Linked DNA regions of Caenorhabditis elegans. The protein of the gene in region 3 purifies or fractionates together with the protein of the main gene of each other region. This does not show direct contact. Each region holds a gene or a part of one and is shown on either strand. Other genes may lie near its edges. The genes, in order: F53F1.2, apg-1 and unc-101.

Evidence for each region.
Region 1: the proteins of unc-101 (region 3) and F53F1.2 fractionate together in Caenorhabditis elegans (co-fractionation; one large-scale study listed by BioGRID). This does not show direct contact.
Region 2: the proteins of unc-101 (region 3) and apg-1 fractionate together in Caenorhabditis elegans (co-fractionation; one large-scale study listed by BioGRID). This does not show direct contact.

The regions. Positions count from the first base shown.
Region 1 is NC_003283.11:13,401,596-13,410,781, reverse strand, and holds F53F1.2 (NADP-dependent oxidoreductase domain-containing protein), read right to left. Parts: upstream 3,967-9,186; 5' UTR 3,859-3,966; coding exon 3,655-3,858; intron 3,572-3,654; coding exon 3,328-3,571; intron 3,278-3,327; coding exon 3,108-3,277; intron 3,058-3,107; coding exon 2,968-3,057; intron 2,926-2,967; exon of another isoform or gene 2,916-2,925; coding exon 2,730-2,915; 3' UTR 2,541-2,729; downstream 1-2,540. Other genes in the region: F53F1.3 (NADP-dependent oxidoreductase domain-containing protein), read right to left, coding at 1,003-1,182, 1,246-1,335, 1,806-1,901, 1,952-2,141, 2,198-2,319, 2,367-2,540; cutl-1 (ZP domain-containing protein), read left to right, coding at 4,768-4,936, 4,983-5,221, 5,270-5,419, 5,480-5,570, 5,907-6,206, 6,501-6,751.
Region 2 is NC_003279.8:14,401,490-14,411,512, forward strand, and holds the start of apg-1 (AP-1 complex subunit gamma), read left to right. Parts: upstream 1-4,538; 5' UTR 4,539-4,553; coding exon 4,554-4,615; intron 4,616-4,677; coding exon 4,678-4,882; intron 4,883-4,928; coding exon 4,929-5,053; intron 5,054-5,852; coding exon 5,853-6,549; intron 6,550-8,027; coding exon 8,028-8,288; intron 8,289-10,023. Other genes in the region: tcab-1 (WD_REPEATS_REGION domain-containing protein), read right to left, coding at 921-1,129, 2,453-2,588, 3,383-3,544, 3,593-3,749, 3,796-4,016, 4,065-4,160.
Region 3 is NC_003279.8:12,506,749-12,519,365, reverse strand, and holds unc-101 (AP-1 complex subunit mu-1-I), read right to left. Parts: upstream 11,068-12,617; 5' UTR 10,812-11,067; coding exon 10,770-10,811; intron 10,716-10,769; coding exon 10,559-10,715; intron 9,878-10,558; coding exon 9,679-9,877; intron 9,080-9,678; coding exon 8,808-9,079; intron 8,584-8,807; coding exon 8,454-8,583; intron 7,420-8,453; coding exon 7,050-7,419; intron 6,564-7,049; coding exon 6,465-6,563; 3' UTR 5,946-6,464; downstream 1-5,945. Other genes in the region: K11D2.4 (C2H2-type domain-containing protein), read right to left, coding at 68-172; mter-4 (Mitochondrial transcription termination factor family protein), read right to left, coding at 910-1,020, 1,421-1,495, 1,733-1,933, 2,164-2,250, 2,651-2,846, 4,714-4,778, 4,916-5,004, 5,449-5,536 and 1 more; asah-1 (Acid ceramidase subunit beta), read right to left, coding at 11,855-12,064, 12,276-12,469. UniProt on the Caenorhabditis elegans protein: Component of the adaptor complexes which link clathrin to receptors in coated vesicles. Clathrin-associated protein complexes are believed to interact with the cytoplasmic tails of membrane proteins, leading to their selection and concentration.

The DNA.
Region 1 (9,186 bases), on a different chromosome or scaffold from region 3:
CTCTTACGAACAATCGAAGGCAAAAGTGATTAAATCGAAAAAAGTGCATGTTATGTGTTGGGTGGTCAATGTGGCGAGATGAGTGCAATGGTACAAGTTCTGGCGCAATACATAATATGTCTGAAGCTTCTGAAGATGATGTGATCGGTGTGATGAAATAAATTATGTGGAAGAAAGCGTTGAAGAATGGAATCTGCATGAGAAAATAGATGATTGATATGGGAACTTTAAAATGTGGCAGTATTGTTTTGGAATCTAGACTACGATGTACTGGATTCTGAGAAACCTGGGAAAGTATTCCATAGACTTATAAAGCTTCAATTCTAAATTTTCAAGTTTAAAGTTTTATAATAACTTGTATTATTCTTCAAGTTTAAAAAAATAGAAAACCGTCTCGACACGATGGAATTTTTTGATGAAGACTGCAAAAAGGAGTGCTCGCCCTAAGGTACGGTAGTTTCCTTCTCCCTGTTGTTTTCTCTGTGCTCCTTGAAGCGCACTTCCTATAACAATTTTCATTCGTGTCGAGACTAGTAACCGTATTTTTGAACCTCTTTTCAGCTCTTATCACCTCCCAAAGTTCTTAGAAATCTGATCAGTGGTTGCTTCTAATTGTTCAAATGATTTATCCAGTTTATTTTATTCAAAACATGCAAGATTGTTCGTTATTCTTTGAAATATTCTCACTATCGAAAGATCTCGATATCCGTTTCTGTAGACGGTTTTCCCATGCCATTGGGAAAGTGTATTTAAACTTTTAGTCTCGTTTTATCTGCACAAGAGATAAACATTATCCTCTTTGCAATTAAATGATAGGTTCAACCTTGAATGATCGAAAGAATTTGTTGCAAAACGGAAATTGCTTTGTGGGGTGTGATAAGAGATATACTCCTAACTTCATCTTGGTTTGACTTTACGCTTTCCCCTATTACGACAAGAAACAATTGAACATGAACAACGATTTTATATAACAAAGGAATCTAATAGGAATTGAATTTAACACTACAATACAAGCCATCCAGTTGTTCGAACGTAGTGCTTGTCTAGGTTCAAGTTGCAGATTTTCTTCACTTCTTCCTCTTCCAGCAGAACTGTTTTCAAATTTTGAGCGAGTCTTTCCGGATTGGTGGACTTTGGAATGATTCCAACTTTTTGACTCGTCGCCCAAGACAAGAGAACCGTCTGAAATTAAATTACTAGATTATGTATCCAATTTAAAATTGTGTTTTTCCATGATTGACTCACTGTTTTTGGAACATGATACTTCTCTGCCAATCTTGTAATAATTTCCGAGGACAACAAGGTCTCATTGTGTCTGGCAAGTGAGGAAAATGCCTGAATAATATATGTTTTTAAATTAAAAAAACCAAAATGTTGCCACGTGTTTTTAAATTGTGGCTTTGTGACTATGACTTGAAAAATATTTCTCAAAACTCAGTTATTGGGCTTCAAAGAGCTGAAAATTGACCCCACAATTATCTAATTTGAATTTCGCGCGTGAATGAGTTTTGTGATTCTCGGCCGTGTACTCCTCTCGGACAATTAGTTAATTAAATTAATATTTTCTTTGTCGATTTTTTCGATTTTAATCATAATAAATAGCAATAAAAAACGAGAAATTATGTTCTATTGTTTTTCTGTTTAAAATAAAAATTTTGAGACACATTTTTTCAATTTATTTGCCATTCTCAGGCGAAATTCAAAAGATTGGCTCAGAGGCTGATTTTTGCATTTTTTTAAAGCTTCTTAACAGACGTTTGAGAAATGTTTGTATTTCGCTTATTTCAAAAGTAAGAAAAAATTACTTGAAAAAAGATTCCTTCTGATTTGCAATAATTTTTGAGTTCTTCACGCGTGAAGTGTGGATGATATTCAACTTGATTGCAACATGGAGGAAAGTTCTACAAAAATGCTGGATTTTAGAAAATAATTTCGAGCCTGTAACTCATACCTTTCCGAGATCTTTAAGCTCTTCCAGATGGCGAATTTCAAAACTGGAAACTCCAACAGATCGAATCTTTCCTGCATTCTTACACTCCCAGAGATCATTCCACGTGGCAATTCGTAGAGTCTTGTTCATCGGATCCTGGTCTCCATAGTCAAATGACTTCGGGTAATGGATGAGATACATATCGATGTAGCTGAAAATCGATAAAATATTATTCTGTAAATTGGAGCAGGAGCTAAGTATATTTACCTAGTTTTCAACAATGACAACGATTCATCCACCAACTTTTTCACATTTTCTACGGTATTGGGATGCATTTTTGTAGTGATAAAAATATCTTCTCTCTTCAGATTATGCTTTGGAAGAAGGATCTTAAACTTGAATTTTTAAAAATATTCCGTCACGCTTGAGTACAAACTTCCAATGCGTCTCCAATTTCTTTCTCATTATTATAAACTTTTGCAGTGTCAAACAGTCGATATCCGGCTGTAAGAGCAGCGTCGAGAACTGGGAGAACCTGATCTCCAATAATTTTATAAGTTCCGAGCCCGATCAGTGGGCAATCGTAACCAGTGTTCAACTTTATGGACATCTGAAAATAATTTTTTTAAAAAATTTTCTAAACGAAACTAAAGATATTATAGCGGAATATTGCGAGAGTGGAAAACTGACGTCATACAATTAAAAAGTTTCAATTTCATGTTAGAGTCACAAGAAAGAGGGAAATATCACAATGTGGGAAAAATGATTATGAAATAAACTGCAATTATTGATAAGCCATTTACTTGACGAGCCATCCGGTGCAACGAATGTAGTGCTGCCCACGATCAAGAGCTGTTAACGATTGAATATCTTCTGGAGTCAGAGCAATATCGATTACTTTGAAGTTTTCTACGATTCTTGATGGGGTCACCGACTTCGGTACGATACCAACATTCTGGCGGAGAGCCCACGCGAGAAGTACAAGCTGAAAAAAGGTATAATTGTTTGAATACAGTCTGAGAATTAATTAAACTTACAGGAACTGATGTATTGTGCTTCTTAGCTAATTCAACGACGACTGGATCTTCAATTAACTTTGGTTCGTGTCTTGCAAGTGAGGAGAAAGCCTGTAAATTGATTATATAAAACGAGTTTTCCCCAGAATATCGAAACTAACCTGGAAGAAAATGTTTTTTTCCTTGCAGTACTTCTGAAGTGGAATTCTTGCAAAATGTGGATGATACTCCAGTTGGTTAGCACATGGCGGCACCTTGGCGTATGTCTTGAGCTCTTCCAAATGCACAATTTCATAGTTTGAAACTCCAATGGAACGAACTTTGCCAGCAGCTAAAATAATAAAATTAATGAAAAATCCAATAGATTTCTGATTTTCAAACCTTTAGCCTCTTCCAGCACTTCATATGCAATTTTCCGGTATTCCGCGTTATTCACATCATCATTGTCAGAGTCATTCGGTTTTGGATAGTGAACAAGATACATATCGATATAGTCGGTTTGAAGAGATTGTAGAGATTCTTCGACAAATCCACGGCAAGCTTCTCGACAATTTTTGCTTTCTGGGAAGAATTTGGATGTCAGGAACACATCAGAACGAGATAATCCATGCTTAGGCAGGAGAATCTGTAAATTTTGAATAAAGAAGATTTGATTACAAAGAGAATGTAAACATAATTTATCTTTGAAATAAAAATATAAAAATTTACCTTTAATGCTTCTCCTAATTCCTTTTCATTCAAATAATACTTTGCCGTGTCAAACATCCGATAACCGGCAGTGAGGGCTGCATCAATTGCTGGCGGAACATTTTCTCCGGTAACTTTGTACGTTCCGAATCCGACGAATGGAATGTTATATCCGGAGTTGAGCTTTTGTGATCCTCCTGGCACATTGGCAAACGAATCCGACATTTTTCTCTGAATTTGAATATATAGCACTGAGAAAATTGCAAAAAGTGCAAGTTTTGAAAGATTAGAAGTTCTAATTTAGAACGATAAAATGGCATATACCGACTGTGGACTAAGAATTGTACAAGAAAAAGAAAGATGCAAAGGGGTTAGAGAAAGAGACAACTTGTCGATGCGGCCTGAATCGAGGTCAGTCGCATCAGGAATGAGCGGACAGCAAAAGTTATTCCCTCACTTTTAAAGAAGTAAAAGTGTTCTTTGGACAGTTTTCTTTAAGAAAAATAATCTGTGAATTTTGTTTCATTGGTGCCAGAGAAACTGATGTTTGGAATTATGCAATAAGCATGAGGATTATAAAAATAAAATTTGAAAAGAAAACTATACATTATTTGAATTCGAAATTATTTTACTTTAAAAGTTCCTTTTCTGTTTTACATCGAAAAAATACCGAAAATTTGGATTGGGCGAGACGCAGAGATTTGCCAGAGAATTAATGTTGGAAATAGCAAAACCTCATTGTATTGTGGTATTCAAAACACTAACGACAAGTTTGGAAAATTAATATATATATGAAACAACAAATAAAAAACGAATAGCAATAAAATAAATTAAAAAAAAAAACAAAAAACAAACAAAATTGGTTGATTATTTGGAATGGCTAAACAACACGCGCTTGCGAAATATCGGAGCATCGTTGGAATTGATTACGGTAATTTTTAAGAAAAGATGTCTGGAAAAGTTGGAAAGTATTATTCCTCCAGGAGCAGTTTGATATTGAAACAAAGGGTTTCAATAAACATGAAACCAAAATTCTATGGAATATAAAAGCTGGTTATTCACAGTGCTCCTCCATTAATTCCCCTCTATTCTTGGATACAACCTATTCTGCAATCTAATATCTCGGTTTAAGATATGGACAATAAAGAAATAAGAAGAACACTTGAGGACTATTTTCCTAAAGGGTTCTTGATCTCAGAATCATCAAAGTATGATTGTCATTTGGAAGACATGCATCTTGTCCTACAGCTTCTCCTAGCTACTCTGGCTGTAAATCCTGTTCCTATTCAAAATTCTTTATACGGTAACTATTTTCAGTAATAAATTTATCTCTGCTTCAAAATATTCAGGAGATGTCCAAGTTGAATGTGACTCGAGAACTATATCAGTTCAAATTAAAACTGAAAAACCATTTGTTGGGGTTATCTTTGTTAAAGATTTTGCGTCGGAAGAAGTGTGTACATCAAGAGGAACTGGAAGACTTTCAGCTTTCTTGGAAATTGAAATAGGATTATGTGGTGCACTGAGACAGCGAGTATTGAATCCAAAGGGACTTGCTGTTCGAACGACAATCACAATTTCATTTCACGTTAGTTATTTATAATAAAACATATTTCCTTATCGCTTTCTGTTTCAGCCATATTTTATCACAAAAGTGGATAGAACTTATAATTTGTTGTGCTTGTACCGGGAGAGCCAAGTCACTGTTGCAAACAACATATCCGTGGATGAAATCTCTACAATAAGCTATAATGTCAATTTGACAATGCCAACTTGTACTTATCAGGTGCGTCATAAACTAAAAATATCTCTTCTGGTTGGCTTCGTGTATACGTATAACTTTAAGATCCTTAGTGGTGGTCCGTTCGGTGAACCTGTAGAATTTGGTTTAATAGGTCAGCAGGTTTATCATCAGTGGAAGTGTGATAATGATAAAGGTATGATAATTCTTATAAAAGGTATGATTTAAAAAAAAATAAAAAAAAAAAAAATAAATAAATAAATTAATATTTATTAAGAGAGTGAGAGCTTAAGCTAAAAATAAAATAATTCCACCAAAGTGCGGCTTCAAGGTGTACTGTAGGATAGGTGTGGAAACTACAGTACTCCTCACATGCGCACGCAATTTTTCGCAGAAGTAATTATTTTATAAGATTGATCGTTTCGGGAGCAGGTTGTGCATAAACGTGCATACGTGGATGAATGAACACAGAATATAAAATTTAAGGCAACCAGTCAAATCATGGGACTAACGATTCTTAGTTTGTTTTCAGAAGACTCATTCTGCATGGTAGTTCACACGTGTTCTGTTGACGATGGACGAGGTGAAACCTCATTTCTCATAGACTCGAATGGGTGCTCAATTGATAAGTTTCTATTGTCGAACCTTGAGTATCCGGGAAACTTACTCGCTGGGCAAGAAGCTCATGTGTATAAGTTTGCTGATCGAGATGCTCTTTTCTTCCAGTGTCAGATATCAATTACCGTCAAAGAGCCAGACCAGGAATGCGTGAGACCAATATGTGAAGATGTAGAAGGCGGTGGAGCACCCGTTGTTGGGCCACCTCCATATGGTATGATTTCGAAAAATTTAGTGAACATTTGGCAAAAAAATTCATTTTTGACATTTTTTAAATCTCCTTATATGTATGTTGTTGGAATTACCAACTATCACAATAAAGCTATTCAGAAACTGTGACATTTTTGTTGCAGTTTTAGGGAAAACCCAGTTTTCACCAGTCATTACTTCGACGTCCTAAAAAGTGTTTTTCTGATGTTCTATTTTGAAAATTCGGTAATATACAAAAAACTTTGATTGAAATTTTCGAGAACTCTAACGTAATAAACACATTTCTAAATGTTTTCAGGTTTTTCTCAAAAGACACAAGTTTCTTTTAATCAACGTGCTAAACGATCAGAAACTAGCCTGGATGAGCAAATTACGGATGTTAGGACACGATTTTCTGTTAGCTATCATTTTGATATTCAAACAAATTCAATTGAAATTATTGAATCTTGTGTTTTATTGTCGACAATGTCTATTCCATTTCTCCTTTTCTACATTCTTATACTAATTTTGACATCAGTAGTTACAGTTATTATTTCTCCAAAAATATAGTTCATATCTTTAATAATCCCTTCCCATTTAAAACCACTGTTATTTTTTCGAAATGAACCATTTTTAATTAGTAGGCTATTTCAACAGAATCCATCACCGTCATTAGACGACGATGACAAGTGATTGATCACACAATCTAAACTGTGTGATTGATTTTCAAACTATTCATGTAATCAAGATAACGATTCGTGGCGTATTGCGGAAGTTGTAAAAAGTCGAGTTTCAGACAAAATTATTTAAATTAGTTACATAAGCTATACATACATGTTTAATTGTAACTCCTGACCTTCTCTCTACAAGTAAGTATATGAAATTTCATTCTTATTCTTCATTTTGAATGAACAATTTTAAAATTTGAAGCTTCTAACAACCATTGTTGCTGAGATCGTTGTGAGACCCACTCAGAAAAATATTGTGATCCTTTGAAGGGAAATATCAAGTTTTTCCGAAATTAGTATATTGAAACGATATCTGTATCATGAGTGGGCGGCAATTCAATTTTCAAAAATTCTAAAACTCGCGCAAATGCCAAACTATCAAGTTATTCATCATTTTTCGAATTGCTGATAAGAAATATCAAAATATCAAGATTGTTATAATTTTTAATGACAGTCATAACTACCTATTAATAATAACTACATTTTTTCAAACTTTCTGTCTATCATTTGTAAAAAAAACGAACTCTATAGCCAAATTGTTGAACATCTTATTACCAAAATTCCAAACTTTGGCAATCGCAGAAAATCCGTACATCGAAAATAAAAATGCTGTAAACCAACTTATCCAACTTTTTCCAAATTCGTGATAAGGATTTGAAAAACTCGAACCGATTTTCTGAATTTCTCATAAGACATCCCCAGTGTCGACGCATCAAAATCTGCATTACAACAAAACATTTGCGTAACATAAATTCAAACGTTTACATAACCTACTTTACCCTAACCTTGATGGTGGTCTTGAGGGTGTAGTTGTAAACTCACCCATCCTTTCACCATTTACAACACCCAACAATACCGACACTGACAGAGTACCAATCAACTTTACTACCCCCCGCTTCCCTCCCGTTCAGTTATAGTTCTTTTTCGAACCCGACAGGAGGGTTCACTACTACACCATCTGCTTCGATGTTTCCCCCCTCTCGACATATACACACTCAGAGTCTCGAGAAATAGTACTTGACGTGGAGACGCAGTGATAAAACTACGCACTGAAACAGTTTTCCGGCGTTGTAATAGAGTTTGAACCAAGAGCACAGAGCCATTGCCTGAGGGTTTGTGCTCTACACACAGCCCTCACATACATCCATCGTTTTGCTCTAGTATGCGTGTGTTCGGACTTTGTATCAATCATGCTCTCCGTGGTTCAATGCCTCCTCTCACTGTCTGCTTTTTCACTTTATCAAAGTCATGTGACGCCATCAGTCACCATACGTCGTCGCAGATTGTTGCTTCTTGCAATTCTCATTCCGGGTTTACAATCGAACGATTTTGATTTGATTTTTTAGTTTAAAAATGTGATCAACTTTTAGACTGAATGTAGAATTCGGTAGGCAGAATAAAACATCGAGAAAATATGATTGGCATTTGGCTCCAGTGTTTTGCACAAATTTGGCTCAAAAAGTATTAACTTGAATCAGACGTTGACTAAACTTTGTCAAAAATTGGGTAAAACTGGGATTTAGGCTACAAAAAAGTTGTAAACAGCAAAACCATCAGAGTCATCTCAAGAAAAATGCAACAAGTTAGATTTTTGTAGAAAACCGACCATGACATTATCCAGAGAGTATACATTTATTATTGAAAATATATAATACATTTATTAATTTTTGCATTGAAACATCTAATTGAAAAGAATTTCCGTCCACAAATTTCAAAGTGGTGCCACCAAATTTTTGTTTTTGTATATTTTCTAACCGATTCTCTGCAACCAAATCTTTTCACTGAATTTTATCTCTGTGTCACTGAAAATAAAATGTCCCACTATCTCCTACAAAGATCTGAATTTTCCTAAAACTTCCTTGAAACTTATCCAATTTGGTAATATTATAGTTCCATTATCTATTGAAAGTACAAATCAACTCAACATCTTCCAATCAACGTCTTTCCAACTTCCTTCTAAAAGTTCCCTAATCGCTTACTGACTCTTCCTCGTTAGCGTAGTAAACTCTCCGGATGTTCATGGACGTTGCCTCTCGTCGTCGTCCTCGTAGTTGTGGCCCACATGTTTGGTTCTGCATCAATCACGCGTAATGAATTCCGAGCACCCCTTCCCCCTTTTCCCACCACATTCCAACTCTTCTACACCACTTTTCTATTTTCATGAACCCAATTTTATTTTTATTCATGACCATTTTGTACTTTTCCCCACTTACTTCTCAAACATTTATTCGAAATGTTTTAAAAAGTTTTTTGAGAACACGGAATTCATGTAAAATG
Region 2 (10,023 bases), 1.9 Mb from region 3:
CTGATTTCACATGGTTAAGAGTGTGCTGACGTCACAAATTTTCTGGGAAAAATTCCCGCATTTTTTGTAGATCAAGAGACATTCTGAATTTCAGCTCTGGTTGAGGCTCAGACTAACTACTAGTTTTCTAGCCTCACGAAACTATGATCGAGGTTCAGGGAAATTCCGATTTTTTGAAAAAAATATTTTTGGCGGTAAATTCAAATTTTCTGAAAAACAATTTTTGGCGAGAAATTCAAATTTTCTGGGAAAACCCATTTTTGGCAGGAAATTCAAATTTTTGATGTAAAAAAATGTTTGGCGGAAATTCAAATTTTCAGTCAATTTTGGCGGGAAGTTTAAATTTTCTGAAAAAATATTTTTGGCGGTAAATTCAAATTTTCTGAAAAACATTTTTTGGCGGAAATTTAAATTTTTTGAAAAAATGTTTTTTGGCGGAATTTTAAGATTTTCTGAAAAAAAAAATTTGGCGGGAATTCGAATTTTCAGTCAATTTTGGCGGGAAATTCAAATTTTTTGGGAAAACCCAGTTTTGGGCGAGAAATTCAAATTTTCCGAGGGAAACAATTTTTGGCGGAAATTCAAATTTTCTAAAAAAAAAAAAACAATTTCGGCGGAAAATTAAAATTTTAATTTTTGATGAAATTTAAATTTTCTGAAAAAAAAACATTTTGGCGGAAAATTCAAAATTTCTGAGAGAACCAATTTGACGGGAATTCAAATTTTCTGAGATCATTTTCTGAGATCTGAGATTTGGCGGTAATTTAAAATATTTGAGAAATTTTCAGTCAATTTTCGTTACGAAAATTCAAATTTTTATTTTCCAAATTTACATTCAAATTTTTTTTTTCACCTTAAAACATTTTGAATAACTTTTTTCAAAAATTTTTAAAACAATATTCAATAACTAAAAATCGAACTTTTCTCTCCGAAGCATAAAGCTTTAATCCATCAGGAGAGAAATGTAGATTCGTGTATCCTTTCAGTGATCCTTCAATCGTCGATACAGCATTTCTCCATTTTAATGAATAAATTGCAACTAGAGATGAACTTCCACCAGCTGCAAATAGGTCAGGCATTGTTGGATGTGGAGTTATCGACATTGGAAGTCCCGTTGTTCCTGTGTTGTCTGGAAATTATATTATTGATTTTTTTAAAATTTTCTTGTATTTTAAAAGTTTCGTTATCACGTACTTATTATTACGGGAACACTGAATTCTGAGAATGCGTACGGGACAACACATTTGACGTGCAAATAGGTTTGGGGTTAGTGGTGGGATATGGTCGGGGTACTGTAGGAGTACTGTAGGAGTACTGTAGGATTACTGTAGTTTAGGAAGAATTGAGTTTTTGTCTTTTGAAGAGATATAGGTTTGCGGTTAGTGGTGGGATATGGTCGGGGTACTGTAGTAGTACTGTAGGAGTACTGTAAGAGTACTATAGGATTACTGTAGTTTGGGAAAAATTGACTTTCCGTCTTCGGAAGGGAAATTGGAAACTTCGGGAAAATTCTGAAATGTTCCAGAACCTTCTGGGAATCCTTCTGGGAATTTCTGGAAAATTCTAGAATGTTCCAGAACCTTCTGGAAAATTCTGAAAAGCTTTAGAACCTTCTGGAAAACTCTAGAATGTTCCAGAACTTTCTAGAAAAATCGAGAAAATTCTGGAATGTTCCAGAACTTTCTAGAAAAATCGAGAAAATTCTGGAGTGACCCTTCGTGGTGAAACCCATCGTGGCGAGACCCATCGAGGTGAGACCCATCGTGGTGAGACCCGTCGTGGTGAGACCCACCGTGGTAAGACCCAAAATTTTGGCGGGAAATTTAAATTTTCTGCGAAAAATGTTTTAGCGGGAAATTTAAATTTTCTGAAAAAAATATTTTGGAGGGAAATTTAAATTTTCTGAAAAAATATTTTGGAGGGAAATTTAAATTTTCTGTGAAAAATATTTTGGCGGGTAATTTAAATTTTCGGAGAAAAAAATTTTGGAGGGAAATTTAAATTTTCTGAGAAAAATATTTTGGCGGGAAATTTAAATTTTCTCAAAATTCTAAAATTCTGGAAATCTAGAATCTTCTAGAAATTTCGAAAAAATTCTGGAATGTTCCAGAACTTTCTAGAAAAATCGAGAAAATTCTGGAAGTGTATGTGTGTCAAATACTTTTAATGGTGCCAGTCGTTGCCCGCGCCGTAGGCGCGGTCAGCGGCTGGTTATATATATATATATATATATAACCATCATCGAGCCCGTAGATCGAGATAATCGCTACAGTACCTATTTAAAGAATTACTGTAGTTTTCGCTACGAGATATATAGATATGTCAAATATGTTGTCCCATACGCATTCTCAGAATTTTCAGTTTCTGTAATACTTACGTCACAATAATTTTTCAGGCAAAAAATTTGTAAAACTCTGGAAAATCCTATTTTAGATAAAATTTCTTTGCTCACAATCATTATCAAATGACTTGATATGTTGAATAGCGTCGCCTGTATATTCGATATCCCAGATTTGAAATTTGTTCTTGAATCCGCCTATCAATGAGCTTCCACTTTGTCCGATGCTCATCGCCGCAGTGATATTGTCCTGCAAATATATTGAATTTTTTGTTTAATTTGGTGAAAATACGGGAAATTTTGACTTAAAAATCACTAAAAACGGTTGAAAATCGATTTTGGGTGAGGCTTAGACTACAAACTACAACTTTTTTAGCCTCAACCAGAATTGGTTGAGGCTCAGAAAATTGTAGTTTGTAGTCTAACTTTTATTGATTGTTTTTTATATAAATTTTAAGGGAAATTTTTTTAAAATGTTAAATTCTGAAACTTATCAAATTTGCAGAAAAACGACTATACTACAAACTACAAAATGGTTGAGGCTCAAAAAGTTGTAGTTTGTAGTCTCGAAATGAATTAATAGGCGAAGATTTTAATTTTTCGTGGTTTTTCGAGTTTTTGGCACAAATTTGATTAAAAAGCAGCTTTAATTTGAAAAAAAGTGAAACATTTCTTTTAGAGACTACAAACTACAACTTTTTCAGCCTCACCCAATATTGGTTGAGGCTCAGAAAATTGTAGTTTGTAGTCTGAGCCTCAATCAATGCATTTTTGTTTAAAAAATTAGCAATTTTCAGTTATTTTTAGAGGTTTTTGGCACAAATTTGATTAAAAAACAGATTTTAATTGAAAAAAAAGTGAAAAATTACTTTTAAAGACTACAAACTACAACTATTTTTAGCCTCACCCAATATTGGTTGGGGCTCAGAAAATTGTAGTTTGTAGTCTCTGAGCCTCAACCAATTTTTTTTGGATTTTTATGTAAAAATGTCAATTTTTAAGCATTTTTTTTTCGTTTTTTTTTTTGCAAAAAAAAAAACCAACCCCAGCATCTTTTCCATTATAAGCACCGAGAATACTTCCATTTTCCGTATCAAATAGCTGAATTGGACGCAGTTTTGACGACGAGAACACCCCTTTTCCAGAGTTTTCCCAACAAGAATCCAGCACCAAATTTCCCGTATTATGCTTCCATATCACTTCTGGCTGCAATTTTTAGCGTTATTTTACAGAAATTTTGGAAGAAAAACCGACAGTTTCATCTATTTTATACATTCTTATAAATCTATCCTGTGAAGCCACAAGAGCCCGGTTTCCCTGTTCATTTTGAATGGAAAAGTGCACAAAATTATTATTTTCCGTTGATTTATAGCCGAATTGAGCGTTGTACGAGTTGAAAGTGGCTTTATCGCTGAAAATTTCAGATTTTTTGACTTAAAATTCGAATTTTCAGATACCAAAATGTATTTTTAAGATTTGTGGGGATTTCGGCGATTTCTACAGGTTCTTGAGCTTTTTTCTTGACTTCTTGGTCAATTTCCTGCATTCTCTGGAGTTTTCGCTTCTCTTTTCGATTTAATGGGCGGTTTTCTGGGATTTCTTCGGGAATTTCTTCTGAAGCAGCAGCCTCTGTGGTCGATAGCTCATCGATTTTCGACGCAAGATGGTCACTGCGGAGCTAAAAAGCAAGCGGTTTTTCTTTGGAAAACAAGTGAAATTTAATTACCGAAGACAAAAGCGACGCTATCCCGCATCTTTCAGCGCGGAGAGACGGTTTTTTCTCCTCCAATTCTTGTGAGGACGACGATTCTTCGGTGTTCATCTGGAAAAAATCGATTTTTTTGGCGAAAAGTTCAAGTTTCAGTGATTTTTAATCGAAAAATTGAAAAAAGAAAAAAAACAAAAATTAAATTCCCCCTACTACGGTCTGCAATCGGGTACCTCCACACCAGACCTCACGCGCAATTGCGGACTCGCCCCCTGCGTTGGATTGTAAAATGCAAAAAATCAATAAAATTGCAGTGTTGTCACTGATTTTTCAGCTTTTTCTAGTGGATTTTCGTGATTTTTTGATTAAAAAATTCATTTTTTCACTAATAAGCGTCGTTTATTTCACTTATTCCACTTACTTTCACTGCTGAGCTGTAAAAAAAACTAAAAAACTCCAAAAAAAACGTCAAAAAATGAGGAATTTTTGCAGGGTGAGGCTCCAAGGATGGCGACGGCTGTCGAGCTAGCCATTGAGAAGATCGATGAGTATAAGTCGAAGATTGGAAGGTTTGTAACATTAAAAAACTCAAATTTTTGCGAAATTTCCCCAGTAAATTCTATTTTTTCAGAACTCTCGGCACTCCGATGCGGCTTCGAGACCTAATTCGGCAGGTCAGAGCGGCACGAACGATGGCTGAAGAGCGAGCAGTGGTGGATAGAGAAAGTGCGAATATTCGAGAAAGCTTCCGAGACGATGATTCTCCGTGGAAATGTAGAAATATCGCGAAATTGCTCTATATTCATATGCTCGGCTACCCAGCGCATTTTGGACAGGTTATTGAACCGTTTTTCGCCGGAAATTAAATTATTTGTTATTCAGATGGAGTGCATGAAACTGGTGGCTCACCCCCGATTCACTGACAAACGAATTGGGTATCTTGGAGCTATGCTTCTTCTCGATGAACGATCGGAAGTTCATATGCTCGTCACTAATTCGCTTAAAAAGTTAGCAAAAACCCATGAAAATGAAAAAATCTTGTTTAAAAGCTTTTTTTCTGCGATTTTTCTCATCAAAATTTGATTTTTTGAAGAAAAAGCAATTTTTAAAGGATTTTCAATGCAAAAATGAGATTTTACAGTAAAAAATGCTATAGAAAACAAAAAAATCCGAAGAATTATTATTTTGGTTGAGGCGTAGACTACAAACTACAACTTTTTTAGCCTCAACCAGCAGCTTTGGGGAGGCTGACAAAAGTTGTAGTTTGTAGCCTAAGCCTCAACCAAGATTTTTAACTTGATTTTGCTCATTTTTAGTGATTTTTCATCAATTTTTACTATTTTTCGAGCTAAAATTAGTGAATTTGGTTCTAAAAACTGGAATTTTTGCTTTAAAATTCACGATTTTGCTAGAAATCCAAATATAAAACGATTTCTTCCAACTTTGGTGAGGCTGACAGAAAGTTGTAGTTTGTAGTCTTAGCCTCAACTAATATTTTGCTCATTTTCAATGTTTTTCATCGAATTTTCACTATTTTTCGACGAAATAATAGAGAAATTGGTTGTAAAATCCGGAAATTGAGCAAAAAAGGTGAAAATTTTGCTAAAAATCCAAATTTTAAACGATTTGTTTTCCAATTTGGTGAGGCTGACAGAAGTTGTAGTTTGTAGCCTGAGCCTCAACTAATATTTTGCTCATTTTCAATGTTTTTCATCGAATTTTCACTATTTTTCGATACAATAAAAGCAAAAAATCCCAATTTCCGCGGAAAACTCTATTTTTTAAAACTAAATTCTTCATTTCCAGCGACCTCACCTGTTCCACCCAATTCGTCAGCGGACTAGCTCTCTGCACTCTGGGCTCAATTTGCTCAGCGGAAATGTGTCGAGACCTGGCCAACGAGGTTGAGAAGATCATCAAGCAGAACAATGCGTATTTAAAGAAAAAAGCGGCGCTCTGTGCGTTCCGTATCGTTCGAAAAGTGCCGGAGCTGATGGAAGTCTTCATTCCATGTACCCGATCGCTTCTGGGAGAGAAAAATCACGGAGTTTTGATGGGCGCAACGACTTTGGTCACAGAAATGTGCGAGAAATCTCCGGATGTCTTGAATCATTTTAAGAAATTGGTGCCGAATTTGGTACGGATTCTAAAGAATCTTCTAATGAGTGGATATTCGCCGGAACACGACGTCACCGGCATCTCTGACCCGTTCCTTCAGGTCAAAATTCTGAGATTATTGAGAGTTTTGGGGAAGGATGACGTACGTGTCACTGAAGAGATGAATGATATTCTGGCGCAAGTGGCAACGAATACGGAAACGGCGAAAAATGTCGGAAACGCGATTCTCTATGAGACTGTACTCACGATTATGGAGATTAAGAGCGAGAGTGGCCTGCGCATTTTGGCTGTGAACATTCTTGGACGATTCCTTTTGAATACGGATAAGAATATTCGATATGTGGCGTTGAATACGCTTCTGAAGACTGTTCATGTTGATTATCAGGTTGGATTTTGTGGAAAAAAAAAAAAGGAAAAAATGGCGATTTTGGCTCAAAAATTGAGGTTTTGGCGGTGGGTTGAGGCTGAAAAAGTGTGTAGTTTGTAGTGTGAGAGCCTCAACTAAATTTATTTCATTTTATTTCTGTTGTTAATTTTAATAGAATTTTTTAAAAAATTATTCTGATGAGTTTTCAAAATGAAAATCGCATGTTTTAGTAAAAATTGTCGAGAAAAACAAGTTTTTCAACGAATTTTCGAATTTTGTAGCTTGGTTGAGGCTCACACACTACAAACTACACTTTTTCTAGCCTCAACCAAATTTGGGGAGGCTGTGGAGTTGTAGTTTGTATTGTGAGCCTCACTCAATTTCAGTTCATTTTTTGTTTATTTTAACAGAATTTTGAAAATTCAGTTTTCAACATGAAAATCGCCTAAAACTTGTCCGGAAAACCAAGTTTTTTGACAAATTTGCAGCTTGGTTGAGGCTCACGCACTACAAACTACACTTTTTCTAGCCTCAACCAGATTTGATGAGGCTGTGGAGTTGTAGTTTGTAGTGTGAGCCTCAACCAAATTTATTTTTAGTTTTCTATTCCGTTTTCGACGTGAAACTTAGCTTTTTAGTAAAATTTTGCCTAAAAAATCAGTTTTTCAATAAATTATTCCATTTTGCAGCTCAAACTGTGTAAATAATAATTGGTTGAGGCTTACACTACAAACTACACTTTTTCTAGCCTCAACCAAGTTTTTAGAGGCTGTGGAGTTGTAGTTTGTAGTGGGAGCCTCATTCAATTTCATTTTTTTCCGTTTTGAACGTGAAACTTAGCTTTTTTAGTACAATTTTCCCCCCAAAAAAACCCAGTTTTTCATAAAATTTCATATTTTGCAGGCCAAACTGTCCAAGTGATAATTGGTTGAGGCTCACGCACTGCAAACTACACTTTTTCTAGCCTCAACCAAGTTTGGGGAGGCTGAAGAAATGTGTAGTTTGTAGTGTGAGCCTCAACCAATTTCAGTTCATTTTCTGTTTATTTTATTAAAATTTTTCCGTTTAATACAAAATTTTCAATTTTATGATGAGTTTTCCACATGGAAATCACCTAATTTAATGAAAATTGTCCGGAAAATCAAGTTTTTCAACGAATTTTTGAATTTTGTAGCTTGATTGAGGCTCACGCACTACAAACTACACTTTTTCTAGCCTCAACCAGATTTGATGAGGCTGTGGAGTTGTAGTTTGTAGTGTGAGCCTCACTCAATTTTTTATATTAAGAATTTTTGGAAACTTTAAATTCCTTTTTTAAATTCAAATTTTACGTTTTCTATCGAGCTTTAACAATAAATTTTTTTTAGTTTATAGACTACAAACTACACATTTTATAGCCTCAACCATTTTTTAAAAAGAAATTTCTAATCAGTTTTAACCTAAAAATATATAATTTTCTCCCGAGTTTTTTTTGTTAATTTCAATGTTTTTTTCAGGCCGTACAACGTCACCGTAACGTAGTCGTTGAATGTCTCAAAGATCCGGATATTTCGATCAGAAAACGTGCAATGGAGCTCTGCTTTGCTCTGATGAACCGTACAAATATCGCAATAATGACGAAAGAAGTGCTCATTTTCCTCGAGACCGCCGACGCTGAATTCAAATCGGAATGTGCTTCACGAATGTATATTGCAACGGAAAGATATTCGCCGAATCATGAATGGCATTTGGATACGATGATTACTGTACTTAGATTGGTACGGTAGTTTTTTTGGATAAATTTCCTTGAAAAAATGGATAAAATTGGCGAAATTTGGCTCTAAAAGTCCAAAAAACTAGAAATCTCACGAAAAATCGAAGCAGACTACAAACTACAATATTTTGGGCCTCAACCAGAATTGGTTGAGGCTCAGAAAATTGTAGTTTGTAGTCTAACTTTTATTGATTGTCTTTTATATAAATTTTACGGGAAATTTTTTTTAAATGTTAAATTCCGAAACTTATCAAATTTGCAGAAAAACGACTATACTACAAACTACAAAATGGTTGAGGCTCAAAAAGTTGTAGTTTGTAGTCTCTCGAAATGAATTAATAGGCGAAAATTTTGATTTTTCGTGGTTTTTCGAGTTTTTAATTGTAAAAATGAGGAAAATTATCCGATATTGTAGAAAAAATCGAATAATTTTTAGATTTTCCTGACCTTTTTGAAATTAAAACTTCATATCCGAAAAATGAGAAAAAAATCAATTTTGGTTGAGGCTAGTGGCTACAAACTACAATTTTGCAAAGCTAGAATTACGGAAATTTGTCCCAAATCATTTTTTTTTTTGAATTAATTTTGAATTCTTCCCGCGCAAATTAAACACACAATACGTATTTTATGACTTTTTTCCTTTAAAAAATTGAAAAAAAATGCCGACATAAATTGGGTGAGGCTCACACTACAAACTACAAAAACGCTGAGCCTCAACCAATTTTTTTGTAAATTTTTAAATGCCGCATTTTTGTGTTTTTTTTTTTGCTTTCTTTAATAATATGTCTTTGAAATCAAAATAAATTTGTAAATCCCGAAAATTTAGAAAAAATTGCTGAAAACTCACATTTTTTGGCCGAAAAGCTATCTTTTTAATGATAAGAGTTGCGATTTTTCTCACACTACAAACTACAAAAACGCTGAGCCTCAACCTATTTTTTTTTCCAAATTTTTAAATAGCGCATTTTTGTGTTTTTTATTTTTTTTTCTTAAAGAATATGTCTTTGAAATTAAAATAAATTAGTAAGTACCCAAAATTTGGAGAAAAAATTCCTAAAAACACACATTTTTGGCCCAAAAACTACTTTTTTAGTGCTAGAAGCTTTGAAAATGCCAAAAGTTCAGAAAAAAAAGTTTTTTTTAAATCGATTTTTGTCAAAAAAAAAATTCGCAAAACGCGTATTTCAGTTTTTTTTGCCGAAAATTATGAAAAATGTTGAAAAATAAATGTCAATTTTTTTTAATTTTCGAAAAATTTAGAAAAATTTTTTAAATTTTTCTCACAATTATATTCGATGCATTTTTTTTTTTCAAAAATTCTGAATTTTCATTCATTTTGTAACGATTTTTTGTTTAATTTACCAAAAAAAAAATTATTAAAAATGTGATTTTACTAGAAAAAACGCCGACAAAAATTGGTTGAGGCTCACACTACAAACTACAAAATCGCTGAGCCTCAACCAATTTTTTTTTCAATTTTCGAATGGCGCATTTTTGTGTTTTCTCTTCATTAATATGCCTTTTAATTTAAAATAAATTAGTAAATTCCAAAAATGGAAAAAATTGCGCTGACAACATACATTTTTGGCCCAAAAGCTATCTTTTTAATGCTAAAAGTTGGGAAAATGCCGAAAATTTAGAAAAAAAAATCGGTTTTAATAGGTTTATGCCCGAAAAAAATTGTCAAAAACGCGTATTTCAGTTTTTTTTTGCCTAAAAATTCTATAAAATGGTTAAAA
Region 3 (12,617 bases):
AAAGGTGCTTAGGGCATGATTCTTGGAATCCTAGGCAGCCGAGTGTATAGTTAGGCCATCAGTTTACCTGTTGCTGGTGCATCATCAGCTCTTCGAACCAGGGAATCGAAAAATCGTGAAAGTTTTGCGAATGTACGCCGCTTCTCGGATCGTCCGCAGGGTTGGTGAACATTTCTGTAAAATATTTTTTAAAATTAAATTTACAAATTCGTGGCCTATAATTTTACATGATGGCCTAGAATATTTCAAACTCAATTTTTTTGAATTCCTCGCGCCGAGACCTTTCATTTGAGTATAATAATGTCCTATGCGTCTTTGAACTGAAATTTTCGTGGCGAGACCCGGAATTTCGTGACGAGACCCAAAGGGGGTGGAGCCTAGGCCTGATGGGTGTTATTCGAAAGGTCTCGGCGAGCTGAGTACGAAAATGATACAAATTTTGAATTTCCGCGAAAAAATATTCTTAAAAATCGAAAAAATCAATAACTCACCCTAAAAATCAATAATTTCTCGAAAGTTGTCCGTCGGCTATCGGTGCATTTTTCGAGTATCTCCCTGGGCTTTTGATACCTCAAAAAGCTGAAAATACTGAAAAAAAATAAAGAAAAATTCTCAAAAAATATTCAGGGTGGGAAACCTGTCGGAAATTGAGAAAATCGATAAAATTTTGTAAAAATTAAAAAATTTTTCAACAAGAAAACTTAAAAATCAATGGAAAAATCAATAAATAACAAGGAAAAAAATGAATTATCGATTTTTCGGGAATTTTTCGAAAAATCAACCGTCTAGAGTCAAAAATCTCCGAAAAACTTGAAAAATCAATTTTGCTAGGTATAAAAACTACCGGAATCTATCGAAAAATCAATAAAAATTAACAAAAAACGAAGGGAAATCCGTGAAAACCGGGTGCTAATTTCCATGGGAGACGTCAAAAACGTGCTCGGCGAGCTCCTGACGCTCCTTGTGCCGTCTTTCGTAGGCTTTTCGTTTTGACGGCTTGATTCGTTCGAATTTTCGTTCCTGGAAATTGCAAAAAATTTAAAATTTCTGAACTTTCCTAAAAAAAATTTTTTTCCTTGGCCTAATTTTTTACATGGTGGCCTATAAAATTCGCAACATAATTTTTCAAATTTATCGCGGCGAGACCTTCAATTCAAGTATAATCATGTCCTACTGTTCCTTTAAAGGACACATTTCGTGGCGAGACCCAAAACTTTCGCGGCGAGACCTAAAATAGGCGTTTTTGGTGTCATTTTGAAGAGCTCGGGGAGCCTAATATGAAATTGTGAATTTTTCGCAAATTATAAAGGGAATTTGAAAATTTTGAAAAAAAAATTTCCAAAAAATTTTTTTTTTTCAGATTTAAGAAAAATTTAAAATTATTGATTTTTTTTCCTATTTTCACACTAAAAAATGTTACTTTTTTCTCATTAATAGTTTCCTTGACACGCAATGCCTTAAAAACGATCCATTCCTCCATTGTGACCCGGGCGACCTGAAAATGTTGAATTTCTGAAAAAATTGGCATTTTCGGGGAATTTTTTATTTTCCGCTCGGAATTTTTAAGTAAAATTAACACAAAAATCGATAAAAAACTAAAATAAATTTGTGGAAAAAATCGATATATTATCGATTTTTCTCCCAAAAAACCCTATTTCTCGTTGATTTTCCCCAATTTTTCACAAAAAATTCTCAAATTTTCAGCAAATTTTCCAAATTCTCATCTCCTCACTTTAACAGCAAAATCCTCCTCCTTACTATCCAAAATGCTCTGTAATTTCGGATTTTCGATGCGAATTTGGGGCCGTTTCGCGTCGGGGGTCGCGAATTTTCCGGTCGCCAGCAGGAATTTGTGGCGATCAACGATTTCGTCAAACGTGAGAATATCGATCCAACCGATGCATTCTGCCACGTCATCAGCTTCAACGCCCATCTGAAAATAGCGAAAAATGGTTGGAAACCGACGATTTTAAGCCAAAATGGTTTACGTGGCCTAACTTTTCAGCTGGTGGCCTAGAAATTTCAAGACCTAAAATTTTGAAATCATCGCGTTGAGACCTTTCATTTAAGTATAATCATGCCCTACTGTGTCTTTAAAATGCACTTTTCGTGGTGAGACCCAAAATTTTCTCGCCGAGACTCAAAAAGTGGGCGGAGTCTTACCTGATAAAACATGTACTCATACTTCTCCTCAATTTCTTCAATTGGCTTTAGCAAAATCTGCGGGCAACGGGAGATGAGATGACCGGCCTGTAAAAAAATTTTTTTTTTTTTTTGAAAATTTGGAAAATTATTGATTTTCGCAAATTTTAACTGAGAAATTCGGATTTTTCAGCCAATTCTACCTCTAAATAAATATTCGCTAAGCTCCTGGTGTTGATTTTCAAAATGTCGGGTTACGGTAGCGCCAAAAGTACGCAAACACCGCGAGGCTCACGCAAAAATGCACAGAAATTCAAAACAACGAGTTGAAGCTGGAGAAAAACGCTTATAGGGGTAAAAATAGCGCAGGAATTCGAATTTTGCAATGAAAATATGCAAAAGCTAATGATTTTTGAGATTTTTCGGGGAGAAAGTGGGGATTAGGGCTATAAGCGGAAGATTAAGAAGCCATTAACTATAATCTTTAGATTAAAAGTTGTGCACTCACCTGCTTTCTGGAGAAAAATCCACCAATCTCGTGAGCCAGTCGTTGCATTTCCTGGGGGTCCCGGGCGAAGAGCAACGGTGGGCATTTCTTGATTGCCGAGCCAATTGTGCGGGGAGTCGAGATACCACAGGCGGAGAGAGCTTCAATGTTTTTGGTGATGCTGGGGGATCCGTGACGGAGAAGATCGTCCGGGAAGCTGGAAGCACGAAAGATTGGCTAACAGTTTAATTCGATTTGGCTGTTTACACGGAAGTTGAACTTTCGAAACGAATTTCAAAAAAAAAAATCGCCGTAACTTCGGAACCATGAGAGCCATCAAAAATTTGCCAACTTGAAAAATGAACCTCAGTACATAAGGTAAAAATGTTTAGCTGACAAATTCCAGCTAGCACCAACTGCTGATAAGTTATCGCTGCTTGAACCCTGCGAGTGCCAAAAGTTGGCGGTCTTTAACTAGTCATAACTCATCAGCATTAGAAGTTAGGTAAAAATCGTCCACTAACAAATTGTTCCTTATATTCTAAGGACCAAATTGTTAGTTGAAAACTTTTCGATAGCAGCTCTAGTTTTTGAGATATAAAAGTTTTTCTAGACGAAACCGAAAAACTCCCGTATCTCCAAAACTAGAAGTGCTACCAAAAAGTTGTCACCTGGAAAACGAATCTTCAGAATATAAGGAATAACTTTCCAGTTGACAATTTTTAACTAACATTAGTCATTGAAAAGTTATCGCTACATGAAAACTTCATGATAGGCGAGTGCCGATACGTTGACGGTCTTAAACTAGTGATAACTCATCAGGATTAGAAGTTAGCTGTAAATTTTCAACTAACAAGTTGTTCCTTATAATTCGCGGAACAAATTGCTAGTTGACAACTTTTCGATAGCAGCTCTAGTTTTTGAGATATAGAAGTTTTTAGAACACTTAATTTCATGGCGAATTTTCAGTTAAATACGTTGAAAACCGATTGCCGTTGGCCGAGCTCGTGGTGTCAGGCTGTCCCATTACGGTTTGATCTACAAAAAATGTGGGAATATTTCCCCCAAAAAAATGTGACGTCAGCACGTTCTTAACCATGCTAAGTCAGCCGAGAACTCTGCGTCTCTACTCCCGCATTTTTTGTAGATCTAGGTAGATCAAACCAAAATGGGAACTTCTGGCACCAAGTGTTTATTTCGGAATAACTTTTTTCAGACTTTTCTCTCGGAGGCCCAACTTTTGTGACACAAGATCCACAAAAATGTAACTGATAAATAAATTATGAAGCGAGATAGAAAAATTACGTGAAAATCATAAAATCAAATAAAATCGCGCGAGCGAAAATGTGTGAGAAAAATGAATGGATTTTTGATGATTATCGTCCTCGTTGTCGTCGCATCTCCAGCGTTCAGGGCGTGTAAAAGTGAAAGTTTCATAGCGAATCAAAAGATAAAAGTGTGAAAAAATGACTGTAGGAAAGGTGTGAGAAGGGCGAGTTGAGAGTATGATTAATTACCCGTTTCGTGTCGTCCGTCGTATCATCAAAAATATTGACGAGACCAACTTTTTCTCCAATTTGGGAAACTTTAGCGAAAAAAATTTGGGATCTCAAGGTATTTTTACATGACACCCCAAAGCCGGGGGCTTTTGATGGCCTAACTTTTCACCCAGTGGCCTAGAAATTCCAAAGCCTAATTTTTTGAATTTGCCACGTTGCCCTATGCGCCAGCTTTTTAAGCTCCAATTTTTGTTGCAAGGCCAAAATTGAAAAAATCGTGACCTAACTTTCTACCTGTTGGCCTAGAAATTTTGAAACCTAATTTTTAGAGCTTTTCGCGTCGAGACCTTTCATTTAAGTATAATCATGCCCTATTTCCCTTTAAACTCAAGTTTTCGTTGCGAGACCCAAAACTTTCGCGGCGAGACCCTCCCTAGGCATGATGGGGGTCATTCAAAAGATCTCGGCGAGCTGAATTTGAATTTCACATTCTTAAAAAGCCATATGGAAATTTAGGTAAATAATTTTGAAAAATACATTTTTTTTCCTCAAAATATCCGAATTTTTTCCAAAAAAAAGACTTACAGTGCCAAAAGTCGAATCGCATCCTCAAAAGTGACATATCCAACATTGACAATCGTCTCCAAAATCTGCAAAAAACAAAAATTTCTCATCTTATCTCAATTATCCGTTCTTATCAAAAATTTCCGCGAAATTTCTCCCCTCTCTCTAAAAATTTTTTCCCAAAAATAAATTGGTTTTTCTACAGTACCCCATCCAAACGTACCTCCAGTGAGGCGCCAGGCTGTGAGACAATTGTACGGAACAGTGTGGCGTTTTTTGTGTTCGCATCCAGCAGAAATTCGCATTTTACACCTGAAAATTGTGGGATTTTTGAGGAAAAATCGATAAATGTCTGAAAAATCACTGAAAATTTGATTTATTATGGTGAAAGATGGCTTTAAATTAAAGAAAACTACGTTAAAACGCTCAAAAATATAGTTTAACTCAAGAATTTGAAATCCCCGCCAACCACATTGCGCAAGTGCGCTCCATGGATAAAACAGCCCAAAATCAGGATTTTTGCGAATTTTCAGACTCAAAATGCTTGAAAATCGTCTGTAAAAACATAAAATTCGCCTAAATTCCGTGTTTTATTTCAAAAATTTGAATTTCCCGCCGACCACATGTTGCAAGTGCGCTCCACGGATAAAATGCTTCAAAATCTAGTTTTTTTTGTTTTTTCAGAGTCAAAATGCTCAAAACCCTCGATTTTTCGTTTTTTCAAATTTTTCACTAAAAAAAATTAGCAAAACCTACCATTTTCCAAAAGTTTTTCGAAAACTTTTGCCGATTCCTGTCTGGCAAAGGAATCTCGACCGGGAATCACAAAATGTGTGCCAGTTTTCTGGAAAAAATTGAATTAGAGTTGGAAATTTGAATTTCCCGCTAATGCAAATGCGCTCCAATGCAAAAAAAAGTCCAAAATTAGGGCAAAAATTCAAATTTCGCGCCATAAAAGCGTGATGCAAGTGTGCCCCAATGCTAAATCTTCAAAATTTTCAAATTCCCGCTTTGCCGAACCTTCAAATCGTCCACAATTCGATCCATCAACGCATTTGGCGCAAAAGTCCGCAAAGTGTCGTCAGATGTGGTGCATTGACGCGAAAATGCAGAAATTCGCAAATTTCGACGAAAAATCGGCAACAATCGGCGCATTTTCTGGCAATTTTTTGCATTTTTTTCAGTGATTTTTCTGGAAATTTAGACAATTTTTGAAATGGAATTTTTAGCCCCCGGAAAACATTTTGTAAACAATTATGACAGAAAATTTATTGATTTACTGAAAAAAGGAAAACGGGAAAAATTGATGAGGATCCATGTGGTGAGAAAATTATGCTGGTGGGAAAGGGAAAAAACTCGTTTTTCTGGAAAAAATCTAAATTATGCGATAAAAATCAATAAATAAATCGGTGGGAAAAATAAAATAAAAATTTTCGAACAAAAAAAAATAGAGTTCGGGGTCATCAGGGGAAAGAGCACACACAACACATGTTTTGAGCCGGGGAGCAGCTCGCGGAGCATTAAATTTTCACAGAAAAAATTGGAGATGTTTGACATTAAAAGAGGCAAAAATTGATGGAAAACGGGGCCGTGGCCTAGGATTTTCGAAAAGTTAGGCCACCACTGGAAGCATGGTGGCCTAGACCTCCAAATTTTCCAAAAACTCGGCCACGGTCGTTTTTCACCAATTTTTCATAAAAAATTCCAAAAATTAAGAGTAAAATTGGGAATAAAATACAATAAAATATGAATTTAGGTAATTTTTTCAGGAATTATTTCATCCGCATCTCGTATTCTCCATTTTGAGTAATGTAGCGGACCCACGGCAATGCTTGATATCCACTTTTCTCGATGATTTTCAGATAACGGACCTGAAAATTTGAAAATTAGGGTTTACTTGGTGGAATTTATGGGAAAAATTGAATTTTCAAGCCTTTTTTTTAGAAGATTTTATCACCCTTAAACACCAAAAAATCACATAATTCTCAATTTTGAGCCGTTTTCTCCGTGGAGCGCACTTGCAATATGTGGTAGGCGGGAAATTTGAATTTTTGAGTTAAAAAGTCAAATGTTAGGTTTTTTCGAGAAATTTGCATCATCTTGACGCAAAAAAATCACAAAAATCTGCATTTTGAGCAGTTTTATCCGTGGAGCGCGCTTGCAACATGCGGTCGGCGGGAAATTCAAATAATCTAGTTGAAAAGTCGGATTTTTAAATAATATCATGTGTTTAAATGAAATTTTCAGCATTTTAGAGCGAAAAAATTACATAAATCTCAAAATTGGGCAGTTTTTGGCGGTGGGAAATTTGAATTTTTGAGCTAAAAAGTCGAATTTTAAGCGAAAAATTCGGCTACCTGAATGCCGCTGGTCGTAAAATACGGAATTTCAAATTTGACTTTAATCGGCGGCCGTCCTTCAGACTCTTCACTCATCACAGACGGTAGAGATAGATGGGCGGTCAAAAGGTACTCTTTTCCGCCGGGAAAATTCTTAATAGTCCATACGAAGGCCGATTGCTCGGGCGTATACTTCACCGAACCGATGCTTGTCTTGAATTTCGGTGAATCAGCGTCCGACGGGACTGGAATAATGATTTCCACGTTATTAGCAGTGGAGCGCCGTTTGAATTGTGATTTCGCTTTGATTATAAACGAGACACGGCTGTGACTGTGACGTTCGATGCTTGTCTCGATCCAGATCAGCGGCTTCACCACGGTTGTTAATCTGAAAAAAAACGGTATTTTTCGAGAATTTTCAGGAAAAATTGGAGCTTTTTGAGGTAAAAATCGAGTTTTTCGACACAAAATTGAGGCATGGCCTGACTTTTTACCTGAAAACCTAGGCCACGCATGTAAATTTGCTTTTTTTTTATTTTTCAGTGTTTTCAAGCTAAATTTGGCCTAGTGATCAACTTTTTAGACTCAAAATTAAGGTGTGGCCTAATTTTCTACCCGAAAACCTAGGCCGCAGGTGTATTTGACTTATTTTTTAAGAAAAACCAACAATTTTGATCCAGACACACAGTTTTCAGCAAAAAATAGAGTTCGGCAACGAACTGATCAGTGGTGGCCTAACTTTTGCGAGAAACTAGGCCACGAGTGGAAATTTGCATGTTACGTGTTCCATTTGTTACAGTTTTAACGTGTTTTTACAGAAAAATCGAGCTATTGTAGTAAAGAAGCCGAGTTTTTAGCCAAAAAATAGAGTTCGGCCATGAATTGGCCAGTGGTGGCCTAACTTTCTTGTAAAATCTAGGCCACGTATGCAAATTTGTATTTTTCTAGAATTTTTCATGTTACTGAGCTCTTCTTCGTCTGAATAACGAGTTTTTTGACCTAAAAGAACCCAAAAACAGGAATCGGCCTTTGGTGGCCTAGTTTTTTCCGGAAAACCCTAGGCCACGTAAGCAAATTTGTATTTTCTACACCTTATAATTGTTTTTCGAGCGTTTTTGGCATAAAAAAGCAGAAATTAACTCGAAATTACAACTCGGCCACGAACTAGGCTATGGTGGCCTAACTTCCAAAAAACCTAGGCCACGTGGGTAAATTGGCATTTCCTAGGATTTTCTGGCATTTTCAGCTTTCAAATCGAGTATTTAAGCCAAAAAATAGACAAAATCAAACTTCGGCCACAGATTAGAAGTCGGTGGCCTAACTTTTCGAAAAAACTAGGCCACATCACTGAATTTCCGTCAAAATCATGCGAAAAACTCGATTTTTCGGTTAAAAATCCGATTTTCTCCACTTTTTTCGTACCGATAGCTCATAAGCTCAAATGCTCCGTCGGGCGGTATGAAGGAGATCGTTCGATCCGTGTCAAAACGCGACAGGCGTACACATTGATGAAATTTCACGTCTTCCAGTTCCACAGATTTGCTTTTTCCGCCTGAAAATCGAGAATTATCAATGGGGCGCGATTGTAGCGGTAGGAAGTTTGAATTTCAAGTTGCAAACGCGCTCCATTGCAAAAATTTAAAAAAAGTCGCATTGGAGCGCAATTGAAAAACGCTAAAAACTTTAAAATTGTTGAATTTTAACAAAATTTTATCGATTTTAGGGTAAAATTGCCTGAAAAATCTCAATTTTCGCATAAAATTCGAAAAAACTCACGTCCACTGCCCTCAAAAAGTACTTTATCGTTAAGACCCAGCCGAAGTTCAGGCATTCCGGTAAGATAGACACGCATTTTAACGCTTCCAACAATTTCCGATTGAAGTACGGTACCGTTGGCGCTGGCCAACATGTTCACACTTTCGATTACGTCCAGGAAAACCTCGTTTTTTCGGTATTTTATGCCTTCAGAGCGCCATGAGACGGCATTTGTCACTGCCATCGGGGGACGGGGTGCCGAAATTAGTTTTTGACCTTCTTGTGTGATGTATCTGCAAAAAATTGGGGGGTTTTTTGATTGAAAATTGAGGAAAAATCGATGATAATTTTGCACAAAAATTCAAATTTTCGAGTCGAAAAACACATTTTGAACAGGAAAATTGCGCTCCAATGTGAACTTTTGCGATTTTTGCATTGAAGCGCGTTTGCTGCATGTTGAATGCGAGAAAATTGAAATTTTCAATGAAAATTCAAATTTCCCAGCTGCAACCGCGCTACAGTGCAAATAATCGCAGTGGAGCGCGTTTGCAAATAGAAATTCAAATTTTCGAGACAAAAGACACATTTTGAACAGGAAAATTTGAATTTTTGAATTCCCCGCCACTGCAAATGCGCTCCAATGTAAATTTTTTGCGATTTTTGCATTAGAGCGCATTTGTGATTGGAAATTCAAAATTTTAGGGTCGAAAATACATATTTTGACCCAAAATTTAAAATTACTGCTATCGCGCGCTGCAAATGCGCTCCAACGCTAATATTTGGCTATTTTCGCATTGGAGCGCATTTGCAGCAGAAAATGAAACGATTTTTCGTGCGGGAAATTCGAATTTTTGAGTAATTTTTTTCAATTTTTCTCGTTTTTCCTCCTTACTCTTGTAGAATTCGACTCTCAGTCGTCTGTGGGAACCCGAAATCCATCATTTCGTCCAAAAGTTCATAGATAACGACAAAATTGTCGCGAACCGACTCCTCTTCGACATCTTTGAAATATTCGGAGAAAACTTCGACGCATTTGTACAAAAATGACAAAATCATTGTGACGTTGACGTTTGAACGGCATGCTGAGACCACTGAAATGAGGGAAATTTGAATTTTTGACTGGAAATTCTGGAGAAAATGACTGAAAATCCGTTAAAAATGGGTGTTTTATCATTGGAGCGCGCTTGCACCCGCTGTCGGCGGGAAAATTTCCGGAAATTTACAATTCTGGCTCAAAAATCGTGAAAATATGTCGAAAAAGTGTGAAAAATGACGAATTTTTCGCAATTTATCGACTTTCTGGCAGAAAAGCTTGATTTTTGAAACAATTTTGCTCCTTTTTTAAGATTTTTACCACATTTCAAATAAACTACAAAATGGAAAAATTACGAAAATCGCAGTTTTATTGATTTTAGTCAATTTTTACGAATATTCGGCTTTTTTTGAATTTTAGCACTCGGGAATTCAGAAAATCAAGGAATTTTTGAATTTTTCTGACTTTAAAATCAAAAAATTGAATTTTTTTGGGTTTTCCGTTATTTTCAAGGGATTTTGTTACTTTTCACTGTTTTTCAACTCATTTTTTAGTTTTAAAACGTTATTTTCAATTTGAAAATGTTAAAAACCACAAAAAATTGCACTTTTTATCGGTTTTTGGCTTGAAAATTCAAATTTCTGACCAATTGCGTCATTTTCAACGGATTTTCTTCAATTTTGCCATTTTTCTATCTAATTTTTGATTTTAAATTCAATTTTTCACACAAAAAACCCACAATAAATATTTGTGTGCTTGATAAACACGAAATTCGTGTCCTGATAGGTCAAAACGGGCGCTGCCGAGCCTTCTTCCTCTTTTTCCATGAGTAAATGAATGAATTTATCGATTGCCGTCATGTCGATGTCTCCGCGATAATTTCGAGAAATTATCGTCTGAAAAATGCGAAAATTGGCATTTTCCGACGTGAAAAACACTAAAAAACTCACTTTTCCCTTCAAATCCAGTATAAACATGGCGGAAGTCGCCATTTTCGACGATTTTTTGCGATTTTCTCGTTAAAATCGTCAAATTCCACGTGGCAGCTACTGGAAAATACTGAAAATCCGGAGAAAATTAGCGGAAAACGGAGGAAAATCGAAGAAAATGAGTGCAAAGATGGATATCGGCTGCTGGCGGGCACGCCCTCTTGCAGTCTGCAGTCTCTTCACTTTATATACTCTCTCGGCGAGTGACGGAGCGGCAGCAGCGGTGCAGGAGGCCTTGGAGACGGATTAATTGGATGGAAAAGGTGGAGAATTTGGTTTATAGCGGTTTTTTCGCGAAAAAATGGAGAAAAATACCGAATTTTGCAAAAAATCGACTTTTTCGTCGGAAAAGTGCAAAAAATTAAGTGAAAATCGACGAAAATCGGTTAAAATTCTATTTTAAAAATTCAAAACTGAAACCAAGGGAGCAAAATTTAGGTGTGCGCCTTTAAAACTACCGTACCTTATTTTATTGGACAATAATGACAAAAACTGGCAATTTCCGCCAGAAAATTGAATTGAATAATTTGAAAATTGAATTGAAATAAAAAAAATTTGTGTAAAAATACTGGAAAATCAGTTTAAATTCATTTTTCTAGTAGAAAATTCCACAAAACCACCAATCGCTACGAGACTCAGAAGAAATATTTAGGCATGCGCCTTTAAATCTACCGTATCCCATTTTTAATAAAATTGTGACGAAATTTGAATTTCAGGAGGAAAACTTGGTTAGAAACGAAAAAACGACGAAAAACCATAAAATTAGCAAACAATTATTTTTTAAATGTAAAATTCCACAAAAAGCAATAACTTTGGTAACCTCGATAAGTTTCGGTGCATGCGCCTTTAAATCTACCGTAACTCATTATTTTTTTCCAGCGGGAAAATTAAAATTTTTAATTTTTGTTTAAAAAAAACCAAAAAACTCTAAAATTTTTAAATTTTATGAAAATTTCGTTTTCAAACAAGAACCCATCAAAGTTTATTTACAAAAATGAAAGTTTATTTCAATGAATCATTGCGTATATGAGAATGTTGAATCCAATCTACCATGGATAGCATTCTCCCGGGCAGGATTGAAGGATGGTCTCGAAGCGAGAAGTCTCGACGGACATGAGGACGGTGTAGGTGGTGAGCTTATTCAGGTTGGTGCGGGATGACAAGACGTTGAAGATTCCCTCGAATCCGACGTTCTTCTGGGTCAACTTGTCCATGCAACGGAATCCCGGAGTGTCACGGTCGTCAAGGTAGAGGTCCTGGAAGAGGGAAATGTTGGATAAGTTAATTCCGGATAGGTTTTGACAGATTTTTGATCAAAATTTCTAGCTAGGAGTTCGACCCACTCAAAAAAAGAAGCTGGGTTCAAAATACTAGACCTAGGCCTAGAGAAGGACCTCTCCTAAAAGTTGGGCCCCTAGATCCGTCTACCAGAACCTACTCTACACCTTCAACTCTAGCATCTCTCACCTCGGTTCCCTGATCGTAGTTGGTCTCCAACAGGTACCATCCGTGTGGGGATGTGGCCATCTCGGTGAGAAGTGCGGTCTTGTCGAGACTTCTAGCGATGATGCATCCCTCGTCCTTCTTGGATCCTCCGAGAATGAAGTAGACTGGTGAGAGCATTGGAGTGTTCATCAAGTGCTCCTTGGCGTCGAGGTAGGCTGAAAGCTCGGGATATAGAGCCTTTATGGATCTCAGACGGATCTAGCCCAATGGATATTAGAAGCAAAGATTAGGGACACTTGAATCTAAGCCTAAGCTTCCTGGAAATCAAAGCTTCCGAATTCTAAGGATCTAAGTCATCAAGAA